Drosophila melanogaster: one gene and its partners. The protein of the gene in region 3 interacts with the protein of the main gene of each other region in a pairwise test. Each region holds a gene or a part of one and is shown on either strand. Other genes may lie near its edges. The genes, in order: CG33143, CG32204, CG42288 and CG12963.

What was found.
Region 1: the proteins of CG42288 (region 3) and CG33143 interact in a two-hybrid assay, tested with the Drosophila melanogaster proteins (one large-scale study listed by BioGRID).
Region 2: the proteins of CG42288 (region 3) and CG32204 interact in a two-hybrid assay, tested with the Drosophila melanogaster proteins (one large-scale study listed by BioGRID).
Region 4: the proteins of CG42288 (region 3) and CG12963 interact in a two-hybrid assay, tested with the Drosophila melanogaster proteins (one large-scale study listed by BioGRID).

What each region holds. Positions count from the first base shown.
Region 1 is NT_033778.4:22,612,627-22,617,348, forward strand, and holds the start of CG33143 (uncharacterized protein), read left to right. Parts: upstream 1-1,701; 5' UTR 1,702-2,095; intron 2,096-4,722. Other genes in the region: tous (testes of unusual size), read right to left, coding at 1-164, 253-336, 395-594.
Region 2 is NT_037436.4:18,943,005-18,947,568, forward strand, and holds the start of CG32204 (uncharacterized protein), read right to left. Parts: upstream 3,035-4,564; 5' UTR 2,729-3,034; intron 1-2,728.
Region 3 is NT_033778.4:14,089,036-14,092,346, forward strand, and holds CG42288 (uncharacterized protein), read left to right. Parts: upstream 1-1,995; 5' UTR 1,996-2,073; coding exon 2,074-2,340; intron 2,341-2,412; coding exon 2,413-2,536; intron 2,537-2,600; coding exon 2,601-2,692; 3' UTR 2,693-2,779; downstream 2,780-3,311. Other genes in the region: prosap, read right to left, coding at 2,958-3,125; CG42287 (uncharacterized protein), read left to right, coding at 1,341-1,562, 1,622-1,757, 1,821-1,900.
Region 4 is NT_033778.4:15,555,781-15,562,964, reverse strand, and holds CG12963 (uncharacterized protein), read right to left. Parts: upstream 5,291-7,184; 5' UTR 5,254-5,290; intron 5,180-5,253; 5' UTR 5,100-5,179; coding exon 5,031-5,099; intron 4,958-5,030; coding exon 4,795-4,957; intron 4,696-4,794; exon of another isoform or gene 4,637-4,695; coding exon of another isoform or gene 4,559-4,636; intron 4,492-4,558; coding exon of another isoform or gene 4,377-4,491; intron 3,729-4,376; exon of another isoform or gene 3,445-3,728; coding exon of another isoform or gene 3,243-3,444; intron 3,106-3,242; exon of another isoform or gene 3,045-3,105; coding exon of another isoform or gene 2,967-3,044; intron 2,868-2,966; coding exon of another isoform or gene 2,762-2,867; intron 2,534-2,761; exon of another isoform or gene 2,509-2,533; coding exon of another isoform or gene 2,443-2,508; intron 2,373-2,442; coding exon of another isoform or gene 2,309-2,372; exon of another isoform or gene 2,069-2,308; coding exon of another isoform or gene 1,852-2,068; intron 1,790-1,851; exon of another isoform or gene 1,760-1,789; coding exon of another isoform or gene 1,685-1,759; intron 1,603-1,684; coding exon of another isoform or gene 1,548-1,602; intron 1,151-1,547; coding exon 741-1,150; 3' UTR 529-740; downstream 1-528.

The DNA of each region.
Region 1 (4,722 bases), 8.5 Mb from region 3:
ACATAATAAGGGTTTCCTCCGGCGGGCGGGTGATCAGGGCCACCGATCTGGAGTCATTGGTAAAGATCATCTGCTGTATCTCCGCATTGCGATGGTTGCTCGGCAGCTCCAAGTGACGTCGCTTCTTCAGGGTGGCCAACTCATAAATGGATATATACCGACCACTAATAGAAAGTTAAAAAGAGTCCATTCATTTGAACTATGTTAGGTTGAGTTATATAAAATATAAAGCATCTGAAATGAAGCTCTTACTTTTTCGAGTGCCTTTCCACCACCGCCAGTAGTTTGCGATGCGAACTTATGGATATCACCTCGGGTCGCGTATCCTCCGGCAGCCTGCAGGATTACAAGGGTTAAGATATTCCTTAACAGTTATAAAACGTGGAGTACCCACCTGAGAAACCTTTGCTTGTTTTGGACGTAGTCGTGGAACGCTAGAACTCCCTCCACCGGATAGATGACCTCCTTGGTCAGGTTGAAGTGGATGTTGCCAATGACATCCGAACGCAGTCCGTAGATGAGACGTGGCCTTATTGTCACCGTGCTGTTGGAAAGAGAGGCTCGCTTCACATCCTCCTTGTTGGCTTCGTCCATCCTCGTTGAGTGTTGTACAAAATATATGCACTGAGACCCGGGATTACAATTTTAGCTGGCAGACAGACAAATTGGAGGAACTGAAATTCGATCAAACAACCTGGGGCAAATCGTTAGGGAGTCCTGCCAGCGACAGCAAACTCCATGGCATCCATGGGAAGTGAGAGTGAGAGCCTAACAACACCAGGCTCTGGGTCTATTCCAATCTGAACGGAGCCGCGAGCGTCCATGAATAAGTAATTAAGCGCCGCTAAGTATGCTTTTAATTTAAACCCTCGAGTGACAAGGGAGGGGTCTGTGATGAAAGCTAAGCGCTTGATAAAAACAACATTGAAATTTCCGCCGAAACCGGCGCTCGTTTCCTGGCCAACAATAGAGCAACAGCCACACCGTCGCACTTGAACTCTGTCAATGCGCTTTTCGCTGAATATGGGTCTGCCAGTCACTGTGTCACTCTGTCAGTCAGTCAATCAGCCAGTCAGACAGCCAGCCAGTCAGTTGGGTCTCCAAGCATTGTGTCATCCCCCAAAATCCCCACAAGTAGTTGGCGGCTATCGTCTCCTTGGCACTGCGAACACGACCTAACGCAAGAAATTGTTAGTTAAAGAAAAGCTGCTCGGCCCCTCTTCAGCTGGGAAATTCTTGGGAAAGGGGGAAAGCTTTTGTGTCCACAATCCTACAAGTTGGATATGCCGAAAATGGTTTGAGCTCTCCCAGTTGGGGAAATAAATTGGGTGGGGAATTGGCTTGATTAATGGTTTTCCTTTCAGACAACACAATTTTCATGTGTATAAAGTATTTAATAGCAGTATTGTCCAATAGAATAATTTCAAACTCAACTACGTTGGGGTGAACTTTGGCGGTACTTTTGTGATTAATAGTTATTAGAATTAGAAAAGACATATCAGAAAGAAAATTTTTTTAAAAATATAACAACAATTTCAAATTTGTCTGTAGTTCATTAAAGATTTCCATCAAGTACACCCCCTTCGAATTAGCCATAAAATAGTCAAATAAGCATCTCCAATCCGTGCACCGCTGTCGTGGAAAGCTTTCGCTCTTTCGGCTTTCTCGGTTCAGTTTCGTTTTCATTTTCCGCTGTCCATTTCAGTAGTAGTTTTCGCGTCGGCCGCAGCACAACGAGCAAACGGAAACCGGAAACGGAAGTGAAAGCAAGCGAAAGGCAGTGGCTCCAAAGCACAGTTAATCGGGCAGAGAGCCGAGTGCAGACAACAGTCAACTGAGAACTGAGCGCAGTGAAGTGTTTGTTTTCGCCGTTATCAGTGGATGCACGCCTTTCCACCTCCGATTGCGAGTAGGGATCGGGCCAGGGACTGGGATTCCGAATCCTCATCCGCACTCGCATCAGCATCCACATCGGATTCAAAACCAAAATCAGTATTGTATCCAGGCTCGCGACCCGCACGGAGGAGGCGGCGAGCCGGAGAGGCGTGTCACTAGCAGGTGGCCGAGCCGGTTAACCAGAGTCCGACGGCAAAAAGTAAATAAAAAAAAAAAAGAACTTGTAAATTGTGTGACAGTACATAGCCTTTGAGGGCTGAATTGTGTGTGTTTTGCAGATTTCAAACGTGCCGCGAGCTGTTAAAACTTTTGTTTGTCCACTGGACGAGAGAATTTCCACACAGTTATCATTTATCTGAAGCAATATTTTTCTTTTTCATATATAACAGATAGTTGGAAGCTAGTTTATACTCAAAGTTACATTGTAATTAATATTATTATTGATCTAGAAAAACTATTAAATGGCCTTATAGCACTTTTATTGTTCTCTATCGATTTACGACTTGGCCGAATACTTGTCTGGTTATTCTCGAATGATTTGAAAACTATTTTGAAACAATCAATGCTTGGGCTTAAAAATAACTTCGTGCCACAGTTCTTACAAATGTGAAAGCCATCGGATCTCCGAATTTCTTTTCTGTGTGTACATAAGTAGGTGTGCTTGTGATTCTGTGACAGTCGCTCAATTAACAGTGAAAACTTCTGAGTCCTGAGTCCTTTGCGGCTGTTTTCAAGGAGGCAACTGAATTTTAAGCCAATTAAATTGCGCAAATCAGAATCGGAACTGGGAAAAAAGGGAACGGAAAATGTGCGATGAAAACGCAAATGAAATGGAATGGAAAATGGCCTAATGGACTCTGTCAGCCAGCAACTCAACCTGAAAAGCAGCACAGCTGTGGCAATTAAAAAGTAATTTTAATGCTCCTGTTTCGTTTGTTTTGCGAAAACAGGCAGCGAATTCACAATTAACCTGTGTGTTTTTGAATTTTTGTGTGGGTTAATACCTCGCCCTTGCACTGCTGTAAATCTTTTTCATCTCTCAATTTCCCCTGTTTTATTTGGCCATTCGAACCGTAGCGAGTCGCACGTAGTAGGTTATTATAAACAAATCGTTCTCCACAAAGAATCGTATATGTATGTATATATGCATATTTATACCGATATCCGCACATTCACCGCAACTAGAACAGGTCAAATGAAAATCGGATCGGCGGCAAAATGCCCGGAAAACGTAAATGTTCGTTTAAATTTAAATCCGTCGCAACCACAGTCGCCGCATTGCGTGCATTGCTCCACCATGTGGCAGTACATCTAGATATATGCACCGATTCTATATATGTTTACATATATATATATATTAACACGACTCGCTCCCCGTATTTGTGGACTCGCACGAAGTCGAGCAAAATGCCGCAAAGTTTGACCGATTATAAATGGAAATTTCTTCATCGCTGAAAGTTGTTTGTGCTCATTAGCAATCTGTAAATAAACAAAATTTCATCGTAATGGAATGAGTTTACGCATAAATAAAAACAGCACGAAGAAATCCATCAAAAAGTCTAAAGAACAACGTGAAGTTTTCTCATAATGGAGATCATAATAAGCTGAAGTGTACACACATCGAAAGCTATTATTTTGATTATCCCATAAAAACTTGAGTCCAATCAAAAATTCTTTCTTTACACGGTCATAAGAATAAAATTTGGAATGAAATGTTTACAGGTAACTTAGCCATTCGAACTGAGGTAATCTAATTGGCTTGTTAAATGCGAGAAGCATAAACTATTTATCTTGTCAATGTATTTTTTTACTATTTTACTGTGCTAAAAAGTTTATATTTTTCGGAGACTGTATTTTAACTTTCAAACTTTTCACACTCAACTGCGCATTGCGGAAAAGAAAAATCCTGCAGAGAATCTGAAATGATACCATGTTGAACTTTCATTGTTGCAATTATTTTTTTATCAGCTCCCATCCTCGCGAGCTTTAAGCTGAAAGTAGTACTCAATTAAAGCCAACTTTAGCCTCCCATTACGCGCTTAATTTTTTATCATCATCCTTGGCAGCCTGTTTCCCGCATTTCCCCCAACTCTTCACTGCACTCCTTTCATCAGCGACCTTCCCCACATCTTCTGTTCCCAGCATACCTGTGGAAAATCTCGCCGAAATTGGAGTCAAGTGTTTTCCCTTATTTTCTCTAGCCTTTCGTTTTTTGTTTTACCGCCAGGACATAATAGCATGCGCCCGCCCTTTCTTTCGCCATCTCTTTCGCTCCGAAACGTTTCACTTACACACACCAGTGCTCGCACTTGTACAAATATACACTCTGCACTGGGAAAAATTTCTTATTGTTCACCACAAACTCTATTTAACTTCAAGCAACACTAAATTATAGATCATGACGTGCTGGGTTTAAATTTCAGGTCATTTCCTAATTTAAAATTTTTTTGAAAATTTTACTCCTAATACGCATAAAACATATAATTTAATAATGAGCTTATTTTAAGTTGCAGTTGCTGAGACACACACTGATAGGCTTTATATGGCTCTTGGACTGGCATTATTGCTCATCCGCCATGTTGGCTTGCCAGTTTAGTCATTAGTTCCAGGTCAAATGTTGACTTTTGAGCAGTGTGCACCGGTGTAAAAGCTGAAGCGCAGCACACACAAGCCTTTGCCCCGGTATTTCCCATTTTCTCCTAGCCCTTTCCTTTCCTCTCCATTCCATTCCTTTCCTTTTGGCTTGGCTCTCGGCTTTCGGGCTTCAATTGTAGCGACCAAGTTGACCTTTTTGTTAATAGCGCTCACACACCGCGCCACACGCGA
Region 2 (4,564 bases), on a different chromosome or scaffold from region 3:
AACATTCTCAGCACTGCGTGAGTTTCGAAAATTTAAGTGCACAAAGTGCTGTCAAGAATTAAGATCCTGACACTTTCGGTCGTTATTTTGTTCGTGCTCTTTTTATGGTTTTTATAAGTTCAGAAGTGGTTAAAACGCATTGTGTTTGGGCAAAAAGAACAGTGAAACTACTTTATTAAATCACCTTAAGTGAGAAAACATTATGCTTCTTTACTCTGAGATCATAACGCGTTATATTGGATTTACTTCGTATATTGTTATATTGAATGTGAAGTGCATTTACTTTGCTTTTCGATTTTCTGCCGAGGACACATTGATCCCTTTTCAGTGCATAAGGACTCGGTGAGCCCTCCGAAAAAGATTTGCACTTTAGTGCAAGGAAGTGCAGAAGACAAAACTTTTGCACGCTATTTTTATTAGTGCCCCAGAGAGAAAAAGTACAGTTGAAAGTCTGCAAAGCATTTTTCTAGATTTCCATTCTGATGCAGTTTTCGCGCACTTTTTTCTTAGCCTCAACAGAACTGAACTAAACTTAAACGCATTGGCATCCGTTTCTGGTCGAAAGCGGTTTATTGCTAAAGAAAAAAACTTAAATAAAGTGGAATTACTTGTTTCAGGGGGTTGATGCCAAGGATTCTCAGGCGCTGAAAGTCGAGTCTATTCCAAAGAAGTATTTTGCATATTCATTCTGCGCTACTTTGTCGCTACTTGAAAATTGCGATTGACGGGCCAACTCTTGAGTTGATGGAAAAGTTTTCGGCCCAAGGACCCCGTGCTTAAACCTCTTCTTTAACAGATTCAAGCTTTAGACTTGTCTTCAATTAAATGTTCTTTAAAACGAATTCATTGCGGAACTTGTAATATCTGGAGCATTACCCTGAATAATTCAATAAATATTTTCATTTCCAATTATGGCAAATGGCGTAAGTTCACTGGGGATTTTTTTGGTCATTAAAGTTTCCCCCGCCCGAATTAATTGCCCCTAAAACTTACTGGCAACACAAATATTATTTTATGTATTTTTTCGGAAGCCAGCGTTGATATTAAGAAAAGTTTGCCCAAGAGGCGTGGCGCATTTTCGTTGGTGTGGCCTGTTCCACTAATGAGCCTATTGTTCGGCAGATAAAACGTGGCTAACTTGGGGCCCAGAGGAACAGGAAATGGCTGTTGTTGTTCCCGAAGTTGTTGGCATTAGCGGAAGGGTTGAGCTTCGGGCGGGAAAACTTTGGTTGGCCAATATGGGTGGGCAGACTTGTAAGTTTTCGAAATTTAAATATGTAATTAGCTACTATTTATTTCGATACAAGAACATTTCAACGAGCTCTTATTGTATGTTTTCTAAAGTTCAAACTTTTTATATTAAATACCATTAGCTTTTAGATTTTAGATTGGCAGTGTGCATATAGAATTGTGAAATTTGCATTCACATTTTCTTTGAAGTTAATATGACAATCAAAGTTTGTTTTTATAATAATACATATTAATTATATATTTCATAAGACGATGGCTTTATTATCAAAGTTTCTCTTTAATCCCAAGCATTTCGAGCTTGAGTCATTTCCCTCTCATAAACGCAGTTAATTGTTTTCAGTTTGCATTACTATTAGTTTTTTATGAACTTTGCCAGCAGCTGGCAAAACAATTTGCCCGCTGCCTTGTCTATCTAGCATCCATTCAGCCCCATTCCGCATCGCCCATCCTCTTTTTCCCTGGCTCTTTTTCTGTGCGAAGGGTCCTTGGTGATCTCCTTTAAAAACGAAAAGGAAACTGAAATTGTAATTAAATTTTTGCCAATTCGTTTAATTGAGTTTTAAGCCGCAACTTCTGAATGCCCGAAATTGAAAGTACCCTCCTGCAGACCCACAGCCACTTCTTAAACCACTCTCTCTCTGGTGAACTGCTTAAATATATTTGCCTGATGTTGGCTCGGTTGTGGTTCCAATAATATTTTTTATACATTTTACGACCGCTAGCTGCGACTGTTTGGGCCGTAATTAAGTGCGTCTAATTTGTGTTAAGCGCCGTGCCACTTGAGCATCGCTTTTACTTTTCGTGCTCCAAATTTATTTTTTATCCCAACCTTGGTCCTGCGTGCTTAACTTAAGCCCATACGTTCCACCAGGCCAACAGTAGCTGCAAAACTCAAAAGACCCATTTCGGAGCGGGCTAAAGGCAGTCGAAACAGGGCTTTAAAGGTTGTCTGGGTACAAACTGCCGTTAAATTGCCACTTCCCCCTGGGATTTTATACCGTTTTTTTTTTTGTGAAATGGAGGCAGACGAAATAAAACATTTTTTGAGTGATTTCTGTATGTGATTTCGGTACGCTTCGCAGAATTTTGAACGAGTGTTAGGGGCTGAAGTGCATGAATATCAACTTTTAAATGAAAAGGTATTTTGCACTTGTATATTTTGAAGAGTAAATGAAAGTGATTTTGAAGTGAATAACAGTTGCTGAAGACCTTAGATTAAAACTGTAAAAAACTAAGGACTATTTAGCTAGGCTTATTTGTTGCATTTGTTTAGTAAATATGTTGTGGATTAATCCTTGAACATTTATAGGTCCTACCACTTTTACTTTTAAGCTGCCATCTGCTTAATTTTATCTCATGGCACATTAAAACTTTTTCTTCTTTCAGCATTTGTTACCTTCCTAATTAGCGCATTTCCTCTGGGGTTTTTTAATTTGACTCAGCTTCTATAGCTCTTTTTACGCTTCTTTTGACTTACCTCATTTGTGGAGCTTCGGTTTATTAATTCACCAATTGTAAAGTTTATTTGAGTTTCACACTTTGCACTAACAAAACACTTTCTGTTTGCTTCGCTCAGTTTTTTTCTCCGCGCAAAATTAATTGTATATCCAATTTGTTTATTCCCACTTTTTACCGGCGAGTTGCGGTGAGAATTTCGTCTGTTTTCTGAACTGTTACTTTCATATATTCGGTCTTGTTGTTTTTGATTGTTTTGGCTTTAATGACGAACGCAGCTCTCGGATTTTGCTGCTGTCGTTACGCGACCGAAACGGTAACTGCTCGAGTTTTTATCAGTGCTCTACGTTTATAAGGAAAATCCGAGTGGAGCTTTTCCCGAAGAGCTTTCCTCTGGCGAGAGCGTCGGAAAACGAACGGAAGAGATACATTTTGACCAGTTTTCATGTTTAGACCAAATCACAGGATACCTTCCCCCTGTTTGCCGTCAATTGTTTTAAGTGCAACATATCGAAGCCAAAGTCAAACACAAACATTTCACATTCTTGGCAGCTTGTGTTCCACGCTTCCTGTTCAAAAAAAAAATAAGGAAAATCGGAAAACGGAGGCAAACAAAGTGCAAGGAAACTGCATGCAAATGATTTCTAGCTTATAAATTATGCAGGTGAGAAGAGCAAATAGTGTCTGCCAAAAACAGGAGAAGAAAAGTTGGAAAAAGTGCAGCAGCCGCAAGCAGTCGAGCAAATAAACTTCAATTTATCTCGACGTGAGTTTTGGTTTCTGACGGTTCCATATGGTTGCTTTTCGTGGTCTTTCCTTTGTTTTATAGCAAGGGTTTTGTTAAATTATCTGGTAAGAGTAATATAAAGCACGAAAAAAATTTAAAGTACGAGTTGGCTATCTGTTTTTTATAGTTCTCTATTTATCTACATAATAAAAGTTTTCAAAAATGGAATTATATTGATGTTACTACTTCCAATAACATTGTTTTTTTTCGAAAAAAAAAACTGGATTCAGAGTGTGCCGGAAAACGTACAGTTCACTTACAAAAAACAAATTATTAAAGTTGAACTTTCTCTCTGGCTCCGTAATTGAACGTTTCGGTGTGCATTTTGAGCGGAAGCGGAAATGCCGGCCATCGCAAAAAGTAAACCAGCGTGATGGAAGAGGCCAGCGTGTTTTGCCACTGGCGATTTCGTTTCGGCCTCGTTCCAATGTTCTTACAGGCTTTCGCCTCCTTGTTTTTGTGGGTCCACAGCTCCTGTGTCATATGCAAATTCCAATTCGTGAAAAACAGACGAGGGAGGAATATGAAAGGTCGGGAGGAGCGGTGGCAGCGAGCTAGGAATATAAATATCGATTAGATAATATCAAACTAGATGGCAGGCTGACAAGGACCTTAAGGCGGCATTGAACTTGTCTCGCCGCGAGGGAGAAGGAGCGAGTGTTTCCGGTCTCTTCATCTCCCTCTCGCGCTCTCTCTCTCTCTCTTTCCACACAAACACACTCCAGCAATTGCCTTGCATGATTTAATTATTTGTAGCATACTTTTGTGCGCCGACCAAAAACTTCACACCTGAATGCACAACAAAGTGGGGGGCTCAAGTGGTTCATCGGCCGAGTGGTGCAAAACTTTTGCCACTTTTGCCACTTTTGCATTCAGGGCGCTGCAGAGCACAGAAGTTGTTGTTGAAGGACCTCCGAACCTCTGCGGTTTTCGGCCGGAGGATCCGGGTTTTTCTATGCGAGCCCGAATGTCTCAATTCATTTTACGCCACACTGCGCCCCAAGTGGAGCGCACCATGCAAAAAAGGGCTGCCGATGCGGGTTTCGGGCCACGGGTTGTGGGATACCCCTC
Region 3 (3,311 bases):
TATTCCAATGATGTCATATTCTTTAGTTTGCAGCATGAACAACTTAATTAGCCCTTGCTATCTTTCAACAAAACACAAACAACATGCTTCCATAAACTTTAATCGCAATTCACATTGCATGCTTATGTAACTCAGGATATTATTCCCCACAAACAAATATCCCCAAAAAATGGTTAAAGCACGCTCAGCTTTCGGTTCCCACACAACCGATCAGAATTTACAACATAATTTACTAAGCTGCACGCTGACAGTGGAACCAGAGCGGCCACGCCCCCTTGCCAAAAAGCCAAAAACAAGGCAATGTCTGTCACTTGACGCGCTGAATTTGAATTGGCCGAAACGAAAACGGAACCGGCACGAAAGACCCGGCCATGCAATTAGCTGGAGGTCATTGTGTTCGGTTCAGCGAAGTTCATTTCAGTTCAGTTCAGTTCAGTTCGATTCGAATCGATACCAGTGTGATTTCAAATCCAGTTCGGTTTCAGTTTGGGTATCGCCCAGAGTTTCCGTTTGCAATTTTGCGGTTTCAATATTGAATTGGGCGAGGCCCCCGCATTGCATTTACGCTTGACAATGTTTCGACAGCAATTTGCTCAACAAATTGCGATTAAATGTATACAATTGATTGACCATTGTTTGGCTTTCATTAGCACAAAGGAGCGGGGAAGTGCCTTTCATTCGGTGAGTAATTTGACGGCATTATAAGGGCAAATAACCGCTGATCTTGACCCCCTGACCACGCATTTACTCATATTTCAAACTAAGTAACATATGTGAATATGTTAACACGTAGTTCTCCTAATCTGTTGGCCATTGAAAAACTAACCTTCCTTGTGACTGACACTTTTTTTTTGCCTCCCCTTGACAGACTGCCATTCAATTGTCAAATATCTTTGGATCTGCAGCGTCACGATTTCCAACTGGGCGCACGACCTCAGACATTGCAGTTGCCGATAAATTGCATTGAACTTCAAAAATTGAAACTTCACGAGGGCCATTTGGCAGCCATTCGAGGGCGGCTGAGGGGGCGTGGTCGTTTTTATGTTGTAAGGGCACGTGTCAGCCTTTGGCTGCATAAAAATTTCAATCAACAACATCTGTTGAAAAATTGCATTGCGATTCCACAGTAATTGGTTTTTTGTGTGATTCAATGCAAAATGCATTTAGTTTGATTGTGAATTTGTGTCTTTTAAGGATTTTGATCCTTAATCTTAGTGCAAGATTATTATTGATTCAAATATTAAATAACTAACGCAAAAATTTTACGATCAACTGTTCCTTGCATTCTGTTGTTTTGGGCGAAATTCATGTAAAAAAAAATCACAAATTTCTGTAGCGGCATGTTTTTTAAAAAGTGCTGCTTTTTCCTGCCCCTCAACGTGGGTTGCATAATCATTGGAGCCATCTTCATAACATTTCACGTTGGGGAGCTGATAACGCATTCGGATGACACCATTTTCATCAAGCAAGTGTCCCACAAATGGTGGGCACCCGTCATCATGTCTCCGATCCTGACAATTGGAACTCTGAGCTCTATACTCCTTGTGTATGCTGCTTCGAAGGTAAGAGATTCAATTGGTTTCTTTCAAGATTCTAATGCTTTATAACATTACAAATGCAGAGCAAGCGAGGCTTTGTCCTTATGTGGATTATCATCTATGCAATTATACTATCCCTATATTTCCTAATGGCCGTTGTCCAGTTGGCCAGGTCGAAACCTTCGCCGATTATATTGGCCGTTCAGGTGTTCATCATAGGTGGGTGTTGGCCATTTTTGATTGAATATGTCTGAATAATGTCTTGATTTTCATACCCCCTAGTTGGTCTCGTTTATTCCCTGCTAATAGTGCTGGCTTTTTATCGATATTTGAGCAGTGTGGATTCTGACGATTCAATTTGATGAGTTGTAAAATAAATGTTAAACTAACGTGTAACTGAATTTAACTGATCTAGTTTACTTCTTTCAGTGTGTCCCTTTTATACAAACTAGATTTTCAACAAATTTCAGTTTCTCAGGAAAGCTTTGAAAATTGTTGTTTAAAACTTGCAGTGCGGCTGAGGATCGGATCAATCATGGCCTGTCGCTGCAAATATCTGAAGCAGATCTTTACCAAGTGCTGCTACTGCTATTCCCTGCGTTTCGGTGTGCTGCTCTTCGGATGCATTTTTCTAACCTGGTTCATTTACATCACCATCGGCACCGGCTTCATGATGGAGTGCATCTTTCCGAACGAGTATCAGAGGTCCCTTATCCCAGCACCGGCGGCCCTCAAGGCCACCATGGTCTTCTCCTTCTTCGGCATCATAGTTTCGGCCATGCTCTGCCTGGGAGTGCACAATGTATGTGATCTGTCTATTATAAATATTCCCAATATATTTAGCATATGCTTATAATACCTCATAATTTTGTAGAACAACGAGATGCTCTTCCTGCCATTTTTGGTTTTCACACCCATTTGGATAATTGTGCACATTTTTGCCCTGACCGTTTACAGCTTTAATACCATCATCATCATCCTGACTGTCATCACAATGTGTGGGTACCCCCAATAATCATGAATCTAAAGCCTAAATTAAGTATACTATTTAATGTTTTATAGTACTTTTAGTGTATGCCTGGCTGGTGGTTTGGTCCTACTACATAGAACTGCTCTTCGCCTACGAAGATGAACTGGAAACCGGTTATGTGTAATAATAGTAATAATAATGATATTTACAAATTTTAGTATGTTGAGCAAGCATTTGATGTGCCTAATAAAATAATGCATGTAGGATACAGAAATACAGATCATAATTTCGCTTGAGCAGAACTCCATACTATGTGAAGTAGACCCCATTTCGGATGTACATATTTCTCCCCGTTTAGTGAGTATTTAGCGCACATGAGACATGCCCGTGCTCTATATACACCGAAAAGACAATGGGTATCGCAGTGGTAATGACAGTGACCGACTTACCTTCGGCAGCGAGGCGAGCACCTGCTGCTTGACATCCCAAACGAGCCGCTCCGATGGGAACTGCAGACACTTGTAGACATTCAGCTCCGGCACATGGATGCGCACCAGTAGCCATCCGTCCCGCGGCTCCGGCGGCGGCTCATCGTCAAACGCACCCGACCCGGACATGGCGTCCGTATTGGCCGGGTTCTGTTTGACTTTGGGCGTGGGTGGGTGGTATGTCGTAATTTTGACGGCTTTCTATCGCACGGTCCACGAAAAAAAAACGAAGCTACTCCCGCTCCACTGGGAGATCTCCTTCTAGCCGTTCTATTCGCTTAATTTGCTCTTTCCTTATTTGGTTGCACTTCAAAG
Region 4 (7,184 bases), 1.5 Mb from region 3:
GATATTATTGTGTTGCGAACTTACGTACAACTATTTATTATAATCTTACAAGTGTATTTATTCTCTGTAAATAGCTTTAGATCCCACGAATACCGTTTATCTATGTGATAGTCTACAACGTTTTGCTGAACTCCACCTATAATTTATTTCCTCGGTATTCACACTGCGCTTAGCTGTATAATTGTTGACTTCTCAATACAAGATGAAAAAACATATACACATATTGATAACTAATTACAATAAATAAAACTTGTCTACCGTAAGCTTTAAAATCTGCTGAATCTAAGGTTAATAGCCATACGGTGGCAGCGGTTAATCGTATGTAAATTAGAAACCATTACTTTTTCATTTTTAAATAATGTCGATTACACGATTTCTGAGTTTATGCTTTATGGAACTTATTTATTTTTGATAAGAACTGATTTTTCATGATTCATAGAACTAATTTATTTTGTATTTTACCATTAAGAACCGATTTTTATATTGTACTTAATCATGAACTTTCCCAAAGTTAAAAGTCATTATTTTCAATTAAATAATTCACTTTAATTTTCATCCTATGTCCTAAAAATATATATTTACAATATGCGACTCCTAATGTCTAGAACTTAAATAGGTATGTACTCAATAAGATCACACAAGTTCATTTCTGTACTGAAAGCGCACACAAAGTGGCATCTGTGTGGCCCAGAGTGGCACGGCGAATGCTTCAGTTCCAATTTATCCATGCCTCCGACGGATCACACCGCTGTCGTTGGCAATGGAGCAGGAGGACCAGATCCGGAGCTGGGTGGAATCTGTGCCGCGCGGGAGGTGGATGGCTCCATCGGTTCCATTGCGATGACAGTGGCTTCTGCGGCGGACGAGGAATGTGGATCTGTCTCCGAATACGGTGGCGCCGGCAGTGCCGCGATTCCAATGGGACTGGGTACACCGAGGGGCGATTGGGGAACAGGCATTCCAGCCGCTGCTGCTGTGGGAGTGGTCAGGTTACACATGCGCATCACCTCGTCGTAGCTGGGTAAATCCTTTTCATCCTTTTCCAGTTGATCGCGAATGCGGTTGGCCTCCACGCTGCCGGGTTCGATGAAGAAAATGTCGCCATAGCGGTTCGATGAAGGATCCTCCTGTGCGTTGAATACATTACGATCTGAAAATAGGTTAAGAAAAATAAGTGAGTAGTGAATAGTGAATAGTGAAGTCTTTAAACATATAAAACTCATAGGACGAATGATAAGAATTTAATTAAAGATTACTTGATTACATCATATTGATATTTGGGTAATGTCATTTAAAGGAGAGTTGTTTTATACACTTCGAAATATTTGTATATGTGCAGTTTGATTAACCCACACAACAACCTTGTTATTCGTTAATTAATTAAAATTGGAAACACTGCTCTAAACACGACCTGATAAGCACATTTTAAATGGGCTTCTAAAAACGAGTTGATTAGTCATATTAGCACTCCAAATTTCACACACACAATAAACACTTTTGAGGATAATATTTCTACCAGTGTGACCCAAATGGGCTATGTTCCATACCAGCTTGTATCTGGCGACGATTTCGAATCCTTGAGTCGTGCATTCGCTTGGCCAGCTAACAAATAGATAAATCAGTTATGGGCTTCTTTACTTCAAAGCCATTAAGATAAACTCAGCTTGCAGGATTAACTACATACGTATATAAGCTGGGCCACCGCGAACATGCAAAACACAAAGCCCAGCGCGACGCTCAGATTAGCTGTCAGACCCATTCCGCAATTCTCGAAGACTGGCCAAAAAGTAATCGCCCGAACCTAACCGATTAGATTGGCTTCCTGCCCACTTTCGGATTGGCACACGTTACCAATTTCAATGCCGTATCGCTGACGATGGTGCTCTGGAATCCTCTGCTGACGTCGACATCGCGGCTGGCAGATCTTTGCCAGAGTTTGGCTCTCTACGCGGATGTAGTAGCAGGCCAGCGGTAGTACGCAGAAAAAGAAGAACACCAGGGCCAAATAGATGGCTATGTGCAGGCCGAAGCCGCTGCCCCAATCCAATGTCGGCTCCGATCCGTGCATGATGAGACTTAGAACGACGCGGAGCAGGAATCAATGCCGAACTACAGCCACCAACTGCGTTTTGTAGACACTAGTATTACCCATAGTTCGCCGTTCAGCACGCAATTGATTAGTCGCCCAAGATTAGATTGTCCGCCATGTTTGGTTGGCATTACCCCATAAATGTTACTCCATATATCAGATATACCATATATACGGTCCGGCGGTTTGCACACACAAACCAAAGCCAGTGTAACTTACGAGAATCTATTCGATGGTTTCGATGTCTATAACACCAGCATTTCAAGATCCAAACAACAGCGAACTTTGGGGGAATAAGAACAGAACTTGGTTACCAATCACCATCGAAGGGATTTGCTGAATCTAAGGATCACCTGTAGGGCTGCATAGGCCACGATGCCGATCAGCAGGCGTAAAAAGAAAGTGGCTATGAGTTCCATTTTGCAACGAGCTCTCCAAAAGACTGACCCCCCAAAGTTACTGATTTGCAATATTAGCAAGACGTTCGAAATCAGCTTATCACGAAAGTCCACAAAACAAACACTCTAGGCTTTATGGATTTATGGTAGCACTTGATCATCAAACCCACCCACACACAGTCACTGTTTGTATCAGTTAGTCAATACATATATAAAACCGTCAATACATCAATACATCAAGCCATCAGAGGCAGTTCAAGCCATCAATACATACCAGTACGCTGGCGTTGACGTTGTCGTCGACGTCTACGTCTTACCGGATCTTGAAATCCCCGAGGATTGGTTCCACAGCACTTGTTCAGAATAATCCATAGTATAAACTTTTGGGGGAATATCAAAGAAGTGATGAGTGAAGGACTAAGGAAGGAAACTTATATCCCTCGCTTAAAGTTAGGTTCAAAAATGTGGTGGACAGATACCTGAAGAGCGAAATAGACCATGGGCATGATCAGGAAGAAGATAAAGAACAGCCCCACATAGAAAATAAAAAAATCCATTGTGTCAATACCCGCCAGAAAAAAACACACAATCGAATCACTTGAATGGCGAGTTAAAACTGAGAACTCTGCAAAACGAATTTCTAGCTAATCTTATCTGGGCCAAGAAACCCATCTGATTGGCCAAGTATCTATATATATACCGTCCGATAGCCACCGAAAATAAGTCAAATTTGGCTTGTTTTGAATGAAGCGTACCATGTCGGCGTCTGCGACTCCTGGAATCCCTGGCCTCGAAGCACACCCAAATGCAGAATCTCAGGCAGCAGAAGGTGACCGCACAGGAAATGAAGGCCAGGAAGAAGAACACCAAATACGGCGGTATATTCGACATTTTGTGATCCGAAAATTCGGTATATCCACGTGGATACGCGAGCACCGGCGATGTTATTCGCTCCATGAAAAGGCCTTAGGCCAACTGTCATAATATGGCGCGTCGCTAGCTTTTGGCCAAGACTTATCGGCGACTGGGAAGAGCGCGGATCGCGGGAGCGGCGGACAGGTGTGTCAAGGGCCATGTGATAAGCGCTCGACGCACAGAGTCCGATAAGATACGCCTCGCCACTATCGCTGTCTCAGTCGGGCGGCGTTCTATTACCTGTGTGCCAGCTGTAAAAGTATCTGTATCTGACAGATATGCGCATAATTACGCTTTGGATAATGTCATCCGGGCACGTGACAGGCGAAAGTCGCGAAACTAATTAAGGAAGCAAATGTCACATAAATCAAATGTTCTAGATTATACTTCTACAAGCACTTGAAAATTATATAGATCGTTTGGAAAACTTTTTTTTATAAACAATTGTAAATTTCTTGCAGTGCAAGAACTATTCTGATTATCAGATTTTCTGTTATTTAATAGATTGGGGTAGATAAGATTTAATTTAAATTTTTATCTGTACATGGTATACTTAAAGAAAAACAAGTGTCTAATAAAAAAAACATGTTATATGATATTTTAGAAAACCGATTAGTTTGCGAATGGAAAATTGGTATTGAAATATATTCATAATTTTCTCTCTTTAAATTCATTCAATGCCATGTTCAAAAAATCAGTTGACACTTTGAAATCTTCCTAATTAAGTAATTTCTTATACTCATTGAATAATAACCAAATGCTTCTTTCTCATGTCTTACAACCCATTATTGTAAATGAACATTATAAGGCATTGACTTTAGCCAAGCGTAAAGCAGCGAATATAGCTGAATGTGTAATTAATTCATAGCGATTCATTTGTAGACAGACAAAGGAACATAATTTAAAGGGCGGAAGAACATTTTCGCCATCAAAATGAATGCCACAAATCACTGCGGGCCACCTGAGCTGCTCACCTGGCGTCCAACTGAGACGACTACTCAATCCCGGCGACGAGGGACACGAGGAAACGAATCTGCTCAAGGGCGGGCTAACTGGCAATCTCCTTCGACGCTTCTGGGCTACACATCTCTGCAATTATCTGGCGGATTCACTTCCATTTGCATTGATAGCCACTAGTTTTGGGCCAAGAACTCACACTGATGGAAAAGTATAAAATCAGCAGGAAGAGGAGCAGCAGGACACCGAACTCGCACCAACGGAACTGGTCGCCCATTTTGCGGAATATCTATATGGCCGAACTGCGACCGTACATCTGAATAAATTAACGCTACTGTCGAACATTGGGAATCTAACCGAACAACCGAACCCATCGATAAGGGAGGCACCATAGATAACTTTATCGAAAAACGCTTGTGACTCATGGCTGCTCACCTGTGCTGAGGGTTACTCCTGACTGATCGATTCTATAGCTGTGCAGAACCCTTCCGGGCTGTCGATTTGTTGGATTCTCCCCAGGACCAGGACCTCGTCCTGGACCACGACCACTTGAGCTGGTTCGACTAGGAGTCTTTTGTGTGGCGCACAGACAACAAGCCTACAGGGTCAATAGGGGATCGTTGTCATCAGACAGGGGTTGAAATTTTGCGATAAATCACTTGAGAACTTACTCGAATCAGTATGCATACAATTGAGATTATGAGGAACCAGCCAATCATCATAAAAGCGTAATAGGGCATTATGAAATTGAGAACTTAAGACCGGAAGTCCAGAACAGACAACAGCACCGATTTACCACCGTTCGCCGCGCACAAGAAACCTTGCTGAAATGGCAAAGGCAATGCCACTCATTGCTAACAGCCTAATCACCAAACAAAACCAAATCGCACATACAACCCTTATCAATCGGCATACAATTTTGCGATTAAAACTAGGCATACACGCGCACAGCCAACGCAATCGGTGGTCTCAATCGGGCTGAATCGGGACTTACGCACCTGGGGATTGGCCCCCTGCCGAAAAGCTTTCGGTATCGTAGTCCCCGGAGTTGATGTTCCTTCTGCTCTTGTAGCACAACTATTGGGGGTAAAGACGGTGATTAAAGTTATAAAACACACCAATCAAAATCAGGAATATAACTCTATTACAGTATGGTTTGCTCTTGAACTGTACGAAAGTCATGATTATAAGCATATTTAAGGTATATCAATCCTCAAAAGTAATAACGGAAAAACCAGAGATATGAGTGTAGTAGTTATTACAACATTTGTGATACAGCTTACTAACTTACGCACCTTGAGATAAATTACTCCCGACATGGGAATTCCCTGATTTCATGTTATTCCTCACGTTGTAGCACAACTATAAAAGCAAAAACAACCGAAATGCCTTTGAAAATCAGGAATATACCCCACAGAAAAGTGGCAAAGGACTCTCAGAATTTACAGGATTATATAAATATTTAGAAATATGTTCAAAATATGTGAAGCTAGTGTGTGCTCTTCAGCTGTTAGAGGAACATTAAGATATATTCCTGATTTTGAAAGTGCAGACTTACAACAAACACCAGGAAAAATAATAGTGAAATGTAGAATATGTCGATCGCTTCCATTTCTCGAGATGGATTAAATAAGACTGTTGGGTATTTTTCGAGAAACGACGTAGAATGCGATTCAAGTTGTTGGCCCATATCTTGGAGAACCCCCATCGAATAACAGGCATTATCTTATCGGCAAAGCTTTTGCAGCTTTTTTTCGCCAAGTTATATAGCCAGAAAAGCCTGGATCTTACCTTCCATGGCCAGGCGCAACATCATCTCATGGCGCAAAAGTCGGGCATAAACCCGCATATTCCACTCGTCGATCTTCAACTTGATGAACAGATAGCACTCCTTGGGATTGGGGTGATTTGACTAATGATATCTAATCAACGTTGAGATTTCAACCTACCCGAGCGAGTAGCAATACGAGAATGAGCACTATAAATGCAAAGAAGCAGACCCCTACATACATTGGACCCAACTGGACCCTAGCTGGTGATTTTGATAAAAAAAAAAAAACAATAGATTCTCTCAAACTAATTTGGAAGACTTGACTAATAGAAGCGGAGTTACTTGGATAAACTCACCAGATTCGTGCCGATATTGCAGGCAGCAGACGCACTTCCACTTGTGATTGGGACAGATATAGGCCTTAATAAATGTTGAATTAGGCAAAATTCTACAGGAGGATAAACCAGCCACACTCACCCTTATCAAAATAAGGAATATCAGAATGAAGGATATAAAGTAATACACCTCGACGAGATCCATTTTGAACCGAGTCTGGGAAATGTGTGGCAGCAAATGAGTCGAGGACCACGGGAATACGAAATTAAGACCCGGGAAAATTGTGATAAAGCTATTTCGATAAACAAAGATAAAGTCAGCGTTGCATCAACCTGACAGCTTGGGTAATTCTGCTGGGCTATCAGATAAGCAAATCAGAGCTAATTATAGCCAAAGGCAATAAACCTGGCATGTGCGACCAGTTACGAGTTAGTTATCAACTGTATCTCTAAGCCTATTTGTGTACTATACAGCTCCCTCTCACCATTTCGTGTGTCGTTGGTCCGCTCCGATCTAGGCCTGTAATCACTGCTCTGGCCAGCTCTCTTGGCCTTGTGGTAGGCATTCGAAAGGAACTGTTTTGGGATAAAGAAACGGATATCATGTAGTGCCCACTTCCGGCTCGAGCGTTAGCTACTCACGACTATAATGAGAATGATGACCAGAAGCACCACGGAAAACGAACTGAACTCTGCACCCATGACTTTGGCAGTCCTCG